Linked DNA regions of Mus musculus: all the other regions are reported to be linked to region 3. The links are microRNA targets in miRTarBase. Many come from high-throughput screens and were not tested one by one. Region 3 holds a microRNA gene; each other region holds the end of a gene's coding sequence.

What was found. The annotated mature microRNA mmu-miR-452-3p reads UCAGUCUCAUCUGCAAAGAGGU and lies in region 3 at 1,655-1,676, shown strand. An mRNA with a match to its seed (bases 2 to 7 or 8) in the 3' UTR can be bound and repressed. Matches are read on the target gene's strand: a 7mer-m8 pairs with bases 2 to 8, a 7mer-A1 pairs with bases 2 to 7 and ends in A, and an 8mer does both.
Region 1: miRTarBase lists Samd4 as a target of mmu-miR-452-3p. Seed matches in the 3' UTR shown: 7mer-A1 at 1,021-1,027.
Region 2: miRTarBase lists Bbx as a target of mmu-miR-452-3p. Seed matches in the 3' UTR shown: 7mer-A1 at 1,400-1,406.

The regions. Positions count from the first base shown.
Region 1 is chr14:47,101,116-47,105,115 of GRCm38, forward strand. It overlaps Samd4 (sterile alpha motif domain containing 4), which reads left to right. Exons shown (of 13, transcript NM_001037221.2): 13 at 316-4,000. The coding sequence ends at 344. The region is part of intron 3 of Gm10371 (predicted gene 10371); the gene reads right to left. Among named protein-coding and RNA genes, the nearest start is that of Gm10371, 13 kb to the right of the region's middle.
Region 2 is chr16:50,194,247-50,198,246 of GRCm38, reverse strand. Bbx (bobby sox HMG box containing) reads left to right here. Exons shown (of 17, transcript NM_027444.3): 17 at 601-4,000. The coding sequence ends at 688. Among named protein-coding and RNA genes, the nearest start is that of Gm4827, 120 kb to the right of the region's middle.
Region 3 is chrX:72,259,760-72,263,910 of GRCm38, reverse strand. It overlaps Mir452 (microRNA 452), which reads left to right and starts at 1,603; the gene lies at 1,603-1,687. It overlaps Gabre (gamma-aminobutyric acid (GABA) A receptor, subunit epsilon), which reads left to right. Exons shown (of 9, transcript NM_017369.2): 5 at 86-168; 6 at 1,329-1,466. It overlaps Mir224 (microRNA 224), which reads left to right and starts at 2,799; the gene lies at 2,799-2,880.

The DNA of each region.
Region 1 (4,000 bases), not on the chromosome of region 3:
TGTGGGTGTGTGTGTGTGGGTGGGTGGGTGGGTGGGTAGATAGGAAAATGAGTGGATGGATGGGTAGGTAGGGTAGGTGAATGGGTGGGTGTGTAGGTGGCTGAGTGGATGGATGAGTGGTGGCTAGGTGGGTGGCTAGGTGGGTGAATGGTAGGTGGGTGGATGAATAAGTGAATGGACAGGTAGGTGGGCATGCAAGTGAGTTAGCAAATAAAGCCTTCATCTTAGAGACCAGTATGTTGAAAGTGCTGGCCATGCTGGTAGACAGCTAGCCCAGAGTGGTTTTGCTCAGTAGTCCTCTGGTTTCCTCCACAGACGGGGTTGACCGGACCTCCACAATCTAGAAACTGAAGATGACAGTGACCGCGCTGGCCGTGAAATGGACTGCTGCGGGCCCAGTGTCAGCCATCTTCAGGGTTGCAGAGACTCTTCCAAGACACTTTGCAGCCTTTTTCCCCTGGTCCCTCGCCCATTTTGATTTTGTGAGAGCGTAGGTCATCCTTGTAAACATATCAGTAGACCTGGGGTTGGTTATGTTGTCATTTGTTTCTGTCAGGGGATGGGACGGTATGCAGGGTGGGGAGGGGACTCTCGGGGGAATGTGGGGCTGGGAGGGGGTGGAGGGATGCTAGTAGCTTCCTGGATGGAAATGGAGTGGGGAAGAGTATTGCTAGGTGAGATATGCAAGAGACACACAGGAGGGAGGTAGAAGCCCTGCCCTGGGGAGCCTTCTCAGAACCCGGCTTCACAGTCAGGCTGCAGAAGACAGCGGACACAAGCAAGGAGAGCAAGATGGCAGCCAGCCTGTTTGTGGCTCCCCTGACCGGATTTCCCCGAGGCCCGGCTTGAAACAACCACAAGAGAGGGCTATATGGCACCAAGGGCAAGAGGAAGAAATTCCCTCCAGCAAACTTTCAGATAAACTTTGATTTGTGTATTGTTTACATAAGAATTTTAAAGGGTACATAATGTGTAGAGTGTGGATAGAACTTCTCTTCATACTATGGTTTTTTTTGTAAAAGACTGATTATTGTTATGGATTCATTCTGTCTCATCTATTTTTATAATAGCAGCAGGGTTGTCTTTTAAAAAAAAAAAAAAAACGGCTGCCAAGCTCTGCTTCTTGGGAAGGTGATTACAGTCAAGTAGGCCTCAAGTTACCGTCTTCGACCATGAGGTGGGAGGAGTGTGTGGATGGGTTTGAAGGATAAGGATGTGGCTGAGATGAACAGAGTACTAGGTGTGGACACCAGGATGATGGCGCTGTGTGATCAGTTCTGGATTTGCTCGTAGGCTATCTAGAGATGATAAACTCTGCAACCTCTTTCTGGGCTGGATTTGCATCCCACGCAAGACCTGTTTTTTGCTTCCCACCCTCCCCACAGGCTCCATCCTACCAGCCCCGGTCTCCCTCCACAGACACACACGTGGATAACAGTCCCTCTAGAGAAGGAAAGACAGGGGTTGATGGTTTTCTTTTGCATGAAGCCTGACACTGAAACATCTGTGATGGAGACTTTGCAGGAGCCTAGGCCTGGGAGTCTTATCTCTTCTCACTCCATCTCTGCCAAAGGAGAATGGCCCAGCAGTAGTGTCACAGAGAGAATGCAGAGATGCAATAGGTCCCCGTGGTCCAGCTCCACCATGGGAGGAAGAGGGGACAATGGAAACAGAAGCAGGAAAGGTTAAGTTCCTGAGAGAAGTGGTTGCTCTCTCTATGCATGTGAGTCAGAGATTTGCTGTGTTGTGGGATGGTTTATCCAACCACGCACAGAAAAGAGAAAACCCTCACACGTACATTACACAGTTCGAGATTAACTGTAACACCGTGTGGGAATAGATCTATTTCTTAAGGGCAACAAAGAATAGTTCAGAATTTAATGCAATGGAGGATATCAGAGGGAATCCAAAAGAAATTATGTGCCACACTGGAGAATTAGCTGCGTAAATGTGACAGTATGAGTGAGTAGCCGGAGGCATGATCTAGAACATAATATAAGGCCTGTCTAGTAAATGGGTAAGACAGATTCCTCTTTAAAAAAAAAAAAAAAAGTGACATTTAAAACCAGACCATGCAAATGACCTTGCCTATGGTTATTTTTTTTTTCAAGTTAATGAAGTGCACACAGATTCTAAAGGCCTTAATAAAAATCCACACAACTGTGTTTGCCTGTCAAGATTACAGGTGGACAACCGAGCCGAGCCTTGGATGCTACAACAGAGATTTCGAAGTCCTTTTACAGTGCAGGGCCAAGGACACCTTAAGAAGGTTGAGCTTTTAGTGATCATGGACGACTTGGATCATCACCCCAATCAGCACTTTATAACAACACCAGAAACAAAAGATGCAGGACACTCCTTGGGTGACCCAGTCTTGAAGATGCAAATTCACGTGCAGAAAGAGGCAGCATGTTTAATTTTTATATGTAGATAGATAGACTTTTTTTTTTTAACCAAGTGCCATTAACATTCATCCCTCGTGTCCCTTTCCAAGCTCAGTGTTGGGGAAGGAGCTGGGATGGAGGATCCCATGTCAGGCAGAACAGGTTAAAATGTCGAAGGCCAAAGGGAAGGCCAGAGGGTCTGAGGAAGTGTTTGGAGGATGCTGGAAAGGTTAACAGAGAGGAACAATAGGACTCCTCATCCTGTAGGAAAGAGAAGGTGTTTAAGTCCGCTACACGCAACGCACGTACCCATAAGGTCATGGGATATTCAGAAACCAGTTTGTGAACACAATCACACGAGTGCGAATCTTTTAAGAGGAAGAAGACCATAGAGTATATTTGCAAATCTGAATTTCTATTTATTCCTTCATTGAATATAGAAGCAATGGTTATCTGATTATTAGAGATATTATTTTGGATATGTCACTTATTAACTCGCTATGGCTGGTACCCATGATAAAGTCTGTTATTAGTAACAACAGAATTCTTTTTTTAAAAAAAAAAAGAAAAAAAGAAAAGCTTATTTTTCATTGACTGTATAGATTTATCTACTTAGTTGTGGTTTGCTATGTTAGTGTTTTTATTTTTATTTTTTAAGTTGTGTTCTGATGATTTTTAAGAACCTCCCCCCCCCCACCTTGATTTGAGTCCTGTGTTGACTACAGGTATACAGCTCAATTTAAAAATCCTAAAGCAAAGAAATTTTATTTATAAAAAAAAATTTTAAAAAGAGTCGAGCAGTTGCATGCCTGAGGCTGTGAAGTCAGGCCTTGAGCAGTGAGCTGCAGTGCCTTTTTTTGTATTTACCCATTGACCACCCCGCCCCAACACAGCTGTTTTATATTAAATAGTAAAGGTTTGAAACTTTCCGAGTAAAGTCTATTTCACTGCATAGGTTCTCCCCATCTCCACCCCACCCCACCCCCGCCCCCACCCGCACCCCAGGCGCCCTGATTTAAGCAGCATGTCTGCACTGTCTGAGACACAATGCTGGTCTACAATATCATGGGGTGATGTTTTATTGGTGCTTTTTTGTTCATAGTGTTTTCTTACCAGAAAACAGTAGGAAGAAACACAAACTATACAAGACACAACACGACGCTGCTGATGGTTTGTTTTGTGTGTTCCCCACCCCCACCTGCTTTTTGAGTTTCACTTTCTTATTACACAAATCCAGCAAGCAAAGTAGTGGCCGGTGGGTCCCGCCTGCCTGCCTGCCTAGGGCTGCTATTTGCATCAAGCGCCCAGCCTGGGTTGAGCTGAAGGTCTCTTTCTGGTACCCAGGCCGGGAGCCAGCCGCAGCTGGGCCCCACCTCCCATTCTCCCGATGCGACACTGAGGGAAACCAGAGTTTCTTTTGAGGTGTCGCTGGCTGCCTTTTACAGAGTGGGAGTCTTCTCTGGGCCTTCCTTTCCTCTGTGCCTAGTAGCTAGCTAGCGCTGGTGCAAGGTTTGTAGATCTGTGCACCCCAGAGCTGGGATGAGGGCTGAGCGAGGGAGGGGAGGAAAGTGGATTCTGTTGGGCGCCCTTCCTCTCTAGCCTGAGTGGGGAGAACC
Region 2 (4,000 bases), not on the chromosome of region 3:
GCTAAACCTATTGGCCAGTTAGTACTTAACAGCAACCATACATGAATGAGCAAGTAAATAGAAATTTGGCCCTAGTATGTATTCTGTTTTTAAAATCTTTAATATCGTGTATACTTCTAGTATTCTATATAACAGAGTTACTTTTCTTTTTTGCACACTAAGAGAAATGTGGGTATAATTATAAAGCAGGTTTTGCTGCATTTTAAAATCTTATCCTGTGTGTCCTGAAGAACTTTATTGGGAGTGAGACCCGTGGAAACACTGCTGTCTTTTCAGCTGTTTTCAGTGCTGTGTTGTGCACCATAGGCCAGGGCAGGGGCAGCCTCAGTGTGCTTGTCCGGGCATGGCAGGCTTGTTATGGTAACAAGAAAATACATTGTTAAGTGGTTGGAAGGGTCGGGGGAACACATGACTTTTCAGAAAAGAAAGAAGAGGAAGGCAAGAGTAAAATTCTAAGGACAAATCCAGCTTTAATTAAAGAACTAAATAGCAATTAATTATTATTGAGTGGGACAATGGAAAGTTCCTATCACTCATTGGTCCTTGCCTATCTCAGATTGTATGCCCCCAGTAAGTGACATTTTCCCTCTTGTTTTACAGAGGCCAGAGATCAACTCCGCTCACCCATGATGGACAGCCAAAAGAAATGCCGCAGGCTCCTGTACTTATTTCTTGTGCTGACCAGTGACGCGCCCTTTAATTGTAAAACATTGTGCTTCACCTTCTACCCTAGCCTTGTCTTTACCAGGGATGCTAGCGAGTCCATGCAGTGGGAAGCACAGACTGCAGACAAGTGCTTGGTGCCCCACACAGCCCAGAACCACTTGAAGCAGAACTTAGCATTCTGGGCCCATGTGTTGTTTCAGAAGCCACGGTTTCTGAGGGCAGTGCTACTGTGTGATACTGAGTGAAAGCCCGGTGGCCTAGACCTTTGCTTTGCATGGAAGGAAGGCTTTTGATGGTGACCAGTGGTGACTTGGTAAAAGGCTGCCTTTGCTGTAGCTCATCCAGCACCTCTTTTACCAACCAGAGAGCGTGAAACTAGTTTCATATATTATCTAGTTATTCTTTCAAAACAAACAAGAAAACCCTGACGCACTGCACTAGTTATTATTAGATATTCTTAGCCTTTTGTACATGAAGATTTAAGTTCTAAGATGGTTTATATAATAGGTTATACCTACATTTATATTGTAGAATAAATATAAAAAGCCTGTACCAGAGCCTCCCAAGCAGCACGGGCAGGCAGACGTACCATTGTTAGCGGTGTATGCTCGGCCTCGTGGTCCATATATTCTGCACTTTTATATTTGCCACCAGAGTGGTAGTGGTAGTTTGCTGGCAGAGAGAGAGAGAGAGAGAGAGAGAGAGAGAGAGAGAGAGAGAGAGAGAGAGAGACAGACTGACTGACTGTGACTGACTGAGAAAGAGAATATTACAATTCTTACAATCTGAATTTTTTTCTTAGCCTTGAGTGACCAAGAAGAATTTGCTTGGGGCAAATTGTGGCAAATATTTTCCCAGACAGGGGAAGCATCCTGCAGATTACAGATTACTGATGTTTTCATGCCTTGAGGATTCTTTTATTTTTACACAGGGGTCTAAGTGACCAATGGATCGTTCATATAAACAAACAAAAAAAAAGACAAAAATATTATTCAGAAGTGACCTTAGTATTACTTCATTATTCTAAACACATTGAAGATGCTCACTTCATATGGACTTGGAGCTTCAGACCTTTTACATCCATCACACACAGACCAGACGGGTGGTGATTGCTATGCACGGCCTAATAGGCACTGCAGGTTTTAGGAGCCATTTGGAGTTTGTATTGTTGAGGAAGTATTGAGTAAACGAGGGGGGAGGTGTGTCTGAAGCACGCCTCTCAGTCAGATCCACCTACAAGTTTCTGTTTCCTTTTTATGTTTTGTTGCTTTTAAGCATAAAACCAACCATATGCCAGTGCCAAGTGGATTTAACTGGCTTACAACATTCAACATATTGACTTAACCACCTGATGTTCACAGTGTCTTGTTTCCTAGCAACAGATGCAAAGTGATACATCAAAATTAATCTGAGGCTACAGACTTTACAGGGTATTTGTTCCATAGCACAAAGTATTTCCCCACTCTTGCATCACAGCACAAACTACCAAATTTTGATTTTTTGGATCCCAGCAATAATTTTTAATAGTTTTCAAACTGGTGGAATTTTGATAGTGCTAGCTGGAGTTTGAAGCTTTTGAATTAGATCTCTAAATGGTGACAGTTTACATGGTTTTATCTAGCTTTCTTATTTATACTTGACTGAATTGTAATGTTTTTTTTTTCTAATTGTAATTTGACCTAATAGCCATATAAAATGACTCTATTAATACTGTCTAGGTCTAGCTTCTCACGGTTGTAGATATTACTTCAGTTCCGGTGCTGGAAAATATGTACAACAATACTAACAGCATTGAAAAACATAGAGGTTTGTTTTGTTTGTTGTTGTTTTTCCAAAGCAGGTGGGGAGGGCAGCAAAGTATTAGAATTATGTCCTCAGACTTTGTTTCTTGTGGGGATGACGGAAGCAGGAAGTGGTGAAAGGTGAATCAGTAGGGATAGCTTAACCCCATTCGCGTGAAGAGCCCCAGATTTTAGCATACTATTTTTACTATGATAACTTTTAATAATATTTTCTAAATTTCAAAACAAAAACCTGAATGATTGAAAATTGCTGGGTCCTGATGTTGGTGGCTGTTGGCGTTTGGACCACTTGCTAGCAGTGATTTAAACATGATAATTAGCTAACCCCCCAAAAATAATAACAAAAATAGAAAACCAACAATTGCATTGGTGCAGAACATGCATCTTGACAATGGTACTAACTTGTTATTCTCTAGAACACATTAGAATAGATCTATTTTTGCCAGAGCACCCTCCCTCAGTCCTCCGATACATTTCACTAGAGTCCTTTAAGAGATTGCTGTATATTCCTGAAAGTTTTTTTTTTTAAGAAGCAAACAAGAGATAACTTTTTTCTACATGGTTAATATCTTACCTGGTCTGCTTTTCCTAAACCCCAATGGCTTTTACTTTAGTCAGGGTGGGAAGGGGAGGGACTTACTGGATATGACTGTTTTCAGATTCTTTAAAAACAAACCTTTTTTGTAGAAATGCTTAATTTTTAAGCGGTTAGGCACTGAGAGTAGCAGAAATCCTGCAAAGCTTTATAGTTCTCCAAGTGAGGTCTTGATTTCAGTAGCTGTGCTTCTTATGCCCCGGCTCTGCTGGAGAGGGGTGTTGGTATTTTCAGGTAACATTTGTTAGCACAAATCTTTCGGTCTGTTACGTTGTCCTTCTTCACTCTATCCGTGTTGTCATCTCCATTTCACGTCTCTCCTTCTGGAAACTGGCGTTGCTGTGTTGCTCTGATGTGTACTTGCGATCCGCCAGCAAGCACCATCCACACTAATATTCGTCTCACAGCATCCTCATGAAGACAAGTCGTTGCACCTTATGTATATCTCAAGCAAACCAAAATGCAATCTTCTGCTTTGTTCTGTTCTAAATCATTGTAGTTATATCTTTCTGAAACCATTTTGCATTTAGTTGAAATTGTCAGTATTTATGCTTTTAACCTTCTGGATTCAAGCCTGTATATAAAATGTTGAAAGAAGCCCTTGCCCTTCGCTGCAGGGCTGGGAGTGGAAGGCTCTGTCTCAGGTGCACACTTAGTACTCTTCCAGCATTCTTTAGCCCTTTATTTATTTTAGGTATTCTGGTATTTCCGATGTAATTTTGAAGTGTCTAGAGTATATTATAGTAACTAAAACTGCAGCTCTGAAGCTGAGTGAAAGAAGAAAATACTGTAAGATGTCCTTGAAGTTTTGTTTGGGTACTGTAAATGAGATCGGGAAGAGGAAAAATGTCTCACAGCCACATTGGAAGCTACAGGTTCTTGTCCCCAAATTAGGCTAGTCTCAGATGGTGGATCAAAACTCTAACTTCATTTAACC
Region 3 (4,151 bases):
TCATTAGAGGTGATACCTTGGTCAATGTTGAGTAAATACCTAAGTACACAGAGCCAGCCTAATGAGGCTCCTTTCTCCCTTCCAGGATGACCATTGATGCAAGATGCTCACTCCACATGCTCAATTTTCCAATGGATTCTCACTCTTGCCCTCTGTCTTTCTCTAGCTGTGAGTACCTTCTTAGGTTTCTGGGGATCCAGAGATACGCTGGGCCCCTCTTTTGCTCATCTTTCCCTTTTAATTTTTCTGCTTCTGCTTTTTTCCTGTGATGGTGCCAAGGTTGCTATAAGCCTCCATTTTCTATCCTCACCCCGTTTCCTGCCAGCAATGCTGTGTGTGCACTACTTTAGCTTTATGTTGAATTCTTCCCTCACTCACCCTTGCTCTACCTTAAGCTAGTCACCTGCTTCTGAAGTGTATCTGAAGTATGCCTGCTCCTCTCCATCTCTGCCTTGATGCGGGGCTTTAATCATCTTCTGCTTGAACTTCTGCAACATCTTCACTTTGAAACAGAATATGTGCTAAGCTAAATTCATTGTCTCTTTCCAACTCCTGCCTCCAAAGTAAATGTGTCGCTTCTGTGTTGCCTCATTCAAGGGTGCCATCATTCACCCAGTTGCCCAAGTCAAGAACTCTGACACCCCCCTCATTGACCTCCTACATCTACTCAGTCCACACATCCTGTTGGTGTTCCCTCCAAATCACTATTGATCTCACCTCCCTCTCTGCATTCTGACTGTTAGCTTTCATTTCTCATTTCAAATCTCCTCTTAGCTGGCATGGATCAATTCTAAATTCCTTCTAATGAACCTCAAAGCCCTTCATGACCTGACCCCTGCTGCTTCCTGCTATATAACCCATCTGTGAGATACTCTCCCTAAAGTTTTGCTGTTTCTTCATTCACCTTTCTGTGCTTTCCTTTCACCTTCTTCAACCTCATCTGTATTGAGAATGTTTATTTTCAAAACTTAAAGTGAATGCCCCATGCTCTAGGAAGTCTTTTCTGATCGTGTCCACAAGTGATCTTTCCCTACTTTACCAGTTGTTCCATGGGTAGAAATATTCAGAGCAACCCCAAGATTTAGAGTTCGATATTGCCTTGCTCAGTGAAATGTGAATGCTGGTTCACACCTTACTCAACTTTGCATTTGAAGCCCAGGGCAAATGTACTTATTGAATGCATTTTGACAACTAGGTCAGAGGCAGGGTCTCAAAGCTGGTGAAGCCAAAGTCAAAAGTCCAAAACATGGCTCAGGCTAACACCATGCTTGTGGGGCCCTCAACTTGGCTTCCCAGTCTCATTCACTCTTTCCCACTTTGATTTCCAGTTTCCTATGATGACAGTGAAATGATCTACAAATGGGAGAATTTCAAGCTCGAAATCAATGCGAAGAACACTTGGAAGCTATTGGAATTTGATTTTACAGGCGTGAACAACAAAACTGAAATCATCTCTACCCCATTTGGTAGGTGGTCAGTGGGAGCTAGAGCTGGGCAGAGTCTGAGGGAGGAGCACCAGTAACTGGAATTGGCTATTTGTCCAAATGCTGTGTAAAGAGGGCATGGAAACACTGTTGAGGGCATCACTCCTCTCTTATATATGCTAAGCAGTTACAACTGTTTGCAGAGGAAACTGAGACTTTATAACTATGTCTCAGTCTCATCTGCAAAGAGGTAAGTGCTTTGCCAAGCCCCTTGAAGAATGGGGTGAGTATATATATTTTTGTAACCTTCAGAATGTTCATCTAACTCTGGGTTTTAGATCCTTTGTATTCAGTGTCTTTGTTATATCACTAACTTACTTAGACAACATTGGAGACAGGTACTCGGGTGATTTCTCCAAACCCTGAATCAAGTCAAGCTGGTTGAGTGAGAAGCAAGAGGTAGAAGTGTGCCACTGACTGGGCCTAATCAGCCCCCCTCAACCTGTGGGAATCAGAGGTTTGGACAGATGGGCATAGAGTCAGCGGGAATTGACAGACACAGACATGAGAGAGTGTGCTGGATCTGAATGTATTTGTCAAATTGAGCATCAAACTTTTTATACAGAAGAAAATAGGGAAGTTGGGTGACACACCAGCAAGGTACAAAGAGGTTACTGGATTCTTACACAAGAAGCTGGAGTCATAATGGTAACTAGTGGGGGTTGGAGAGTCTGCAGGTAATTACTCAGCTGCAGTGGCTGGTACAGTAGCATTATCTTAAAGGAGCAACTCTGAAAAGCATGTATTTTCACCAAAGGCTTCATAGTGGAATCAACATAATCTTTGAAAATTTTCTGATCTTGTTCCTGACAAGGACAATAGGGGCAGATTCTGGGTCTCTTAACTTGTAACTCCTGAACAGATGTGAGCATCTTTGCTTATATTCCTAGGTGATCTGAATGAGGAGCCAAGGAGTCTTCCCAGGGTAGCTCTGAGAGCAACCCTGGACCTTCTTCACATGTACTGACAAGAATGTGGATGGAGCAGGTCACCCAGCCAGCCTTTTGTCATTTATTTTGCTTTGTGTCTGTGTGATGATGACATAAAAAAAAAAAAAAACCTGCTATTGCTACTGATGGTCACTGGGTGAGGGACAGCTTATGCTCATCTGACTAAAGCTTTGCTTACGTAGTACTAGGCAGGGAATGGGTGCTGCTTTTCCTTTTCCTGGGGCTCTGAGAAAGCCACTTTGCTTGCTTTGGCTTGGAATTCTTGCTCTTCTACTAGACAACTATGGGCCTGCCTCTTAGTACTTCAGTTTGTCCAGATAGGTGGAGCCCCATCATCAGAACTGGCAGAAGAGACAAGGCCCGGGGGCTTTTAAGTCACTAGTGGTTCCGTTTAGTAGATGGTTTGTGCATTGTTTCAAAATGGTGCCCTAGTGACTACAAAGCCCCAGAGCCAGCATCATCGGTGAAGCAATGGCAGTAGGTAAGCAACATCTCTTCCTGTGGAGAAAGAAGTAGGTCTTTTCCTTTGACTAGAAACTACTTATTCTGAATTCATAGTGTCTCCACTGTCAGTTATTTTTGAGTCAGGTCCCAACTCTCCCAGTTTGACACCAGGGCAGTTCTTCCTAGCTGGAACATACATGTACTCAATTTTCAGGGTTTTGAATGCAGTGGTGCCCTGAAACTTAGCCCACCTTGGACCTTAAAGCAGAGTTTCTGCTTCAGGAGCTTTTCAGAAAGTGCAGCCTTGTCTGTAGTAAATTAATCATCCTTCACTGATAGCTGTTGAGCCTCTAAGGAAATCTTGCCACGATCAAGAGGTCAGTGTCTTCTTGTAAGATTATTTTCTTCCCTAGACAGTTCCCCCCATTAGGAAATTCTTCTTTCTCATCTAAAATGGGAGTTTCTGGAATATTTCCCCATCAGATCTAGTTCTTTTCTCTTATAACTACCTGGCTTACATTAACTGAAGGTACTCTTCCAAAATCAAATGTAAAGCTCTTGGGTTGGAGCACACACTTGTATTCTATTGGGACTCTTCTCCCCAGTTCCTTTTCTTCTCTTGTTCTTCACTGCCTTCAGTTCACTAGTCCTCTGGACAGTCTTTTAATTGTGTCTTTAGCAGTGCAGCCCCCAACTATGATCTGGAAAAAGAGGTAAGAGCTAAAGTCATCTTTAATCAATTTTGTTTTGGTTTGGCTTTCAGTCCTAGATATGTCTCTTCCATTGGTATTGTTTCTTCACTCATTAGAATGAAGGAAATACATGTTAGTATCCTTTTCTTGTCAAATTTCTAGCTTTTAATAAATAAGAAAGTTTCTTCTTTAATCAGAATGAATAAATTTAAAGGATGAGAAATAAAACAGCACTATACATCTTGTGACAAACATATTAAGAAAATTTTTAATCACAGTCAAGACTCCAGGACAGATGGACTAATAATTTGGTCATTCTGGCAAGTAGTATAAAATGGTCCCTGGTTCAGTGCTAGAGGAATTCTAGTGTTAAAGATCCTACTATTCAGGCAGGAACTTTCCCACTGACCATAGCCATTTACTTGCCTTTCTCTGAAGAACCCAAGAAGCTTTGTTCCTCCAAGGTCAAGTCTTCCAACACTAGGAGGAAGGGTTGCTCTCAGTCTGTACTTGCCCACTCAGACTGGTCAGGCAGGTGGGCTGTTTTTTGTACAGTCTACAGTGTACACAGGGTTTGTGCC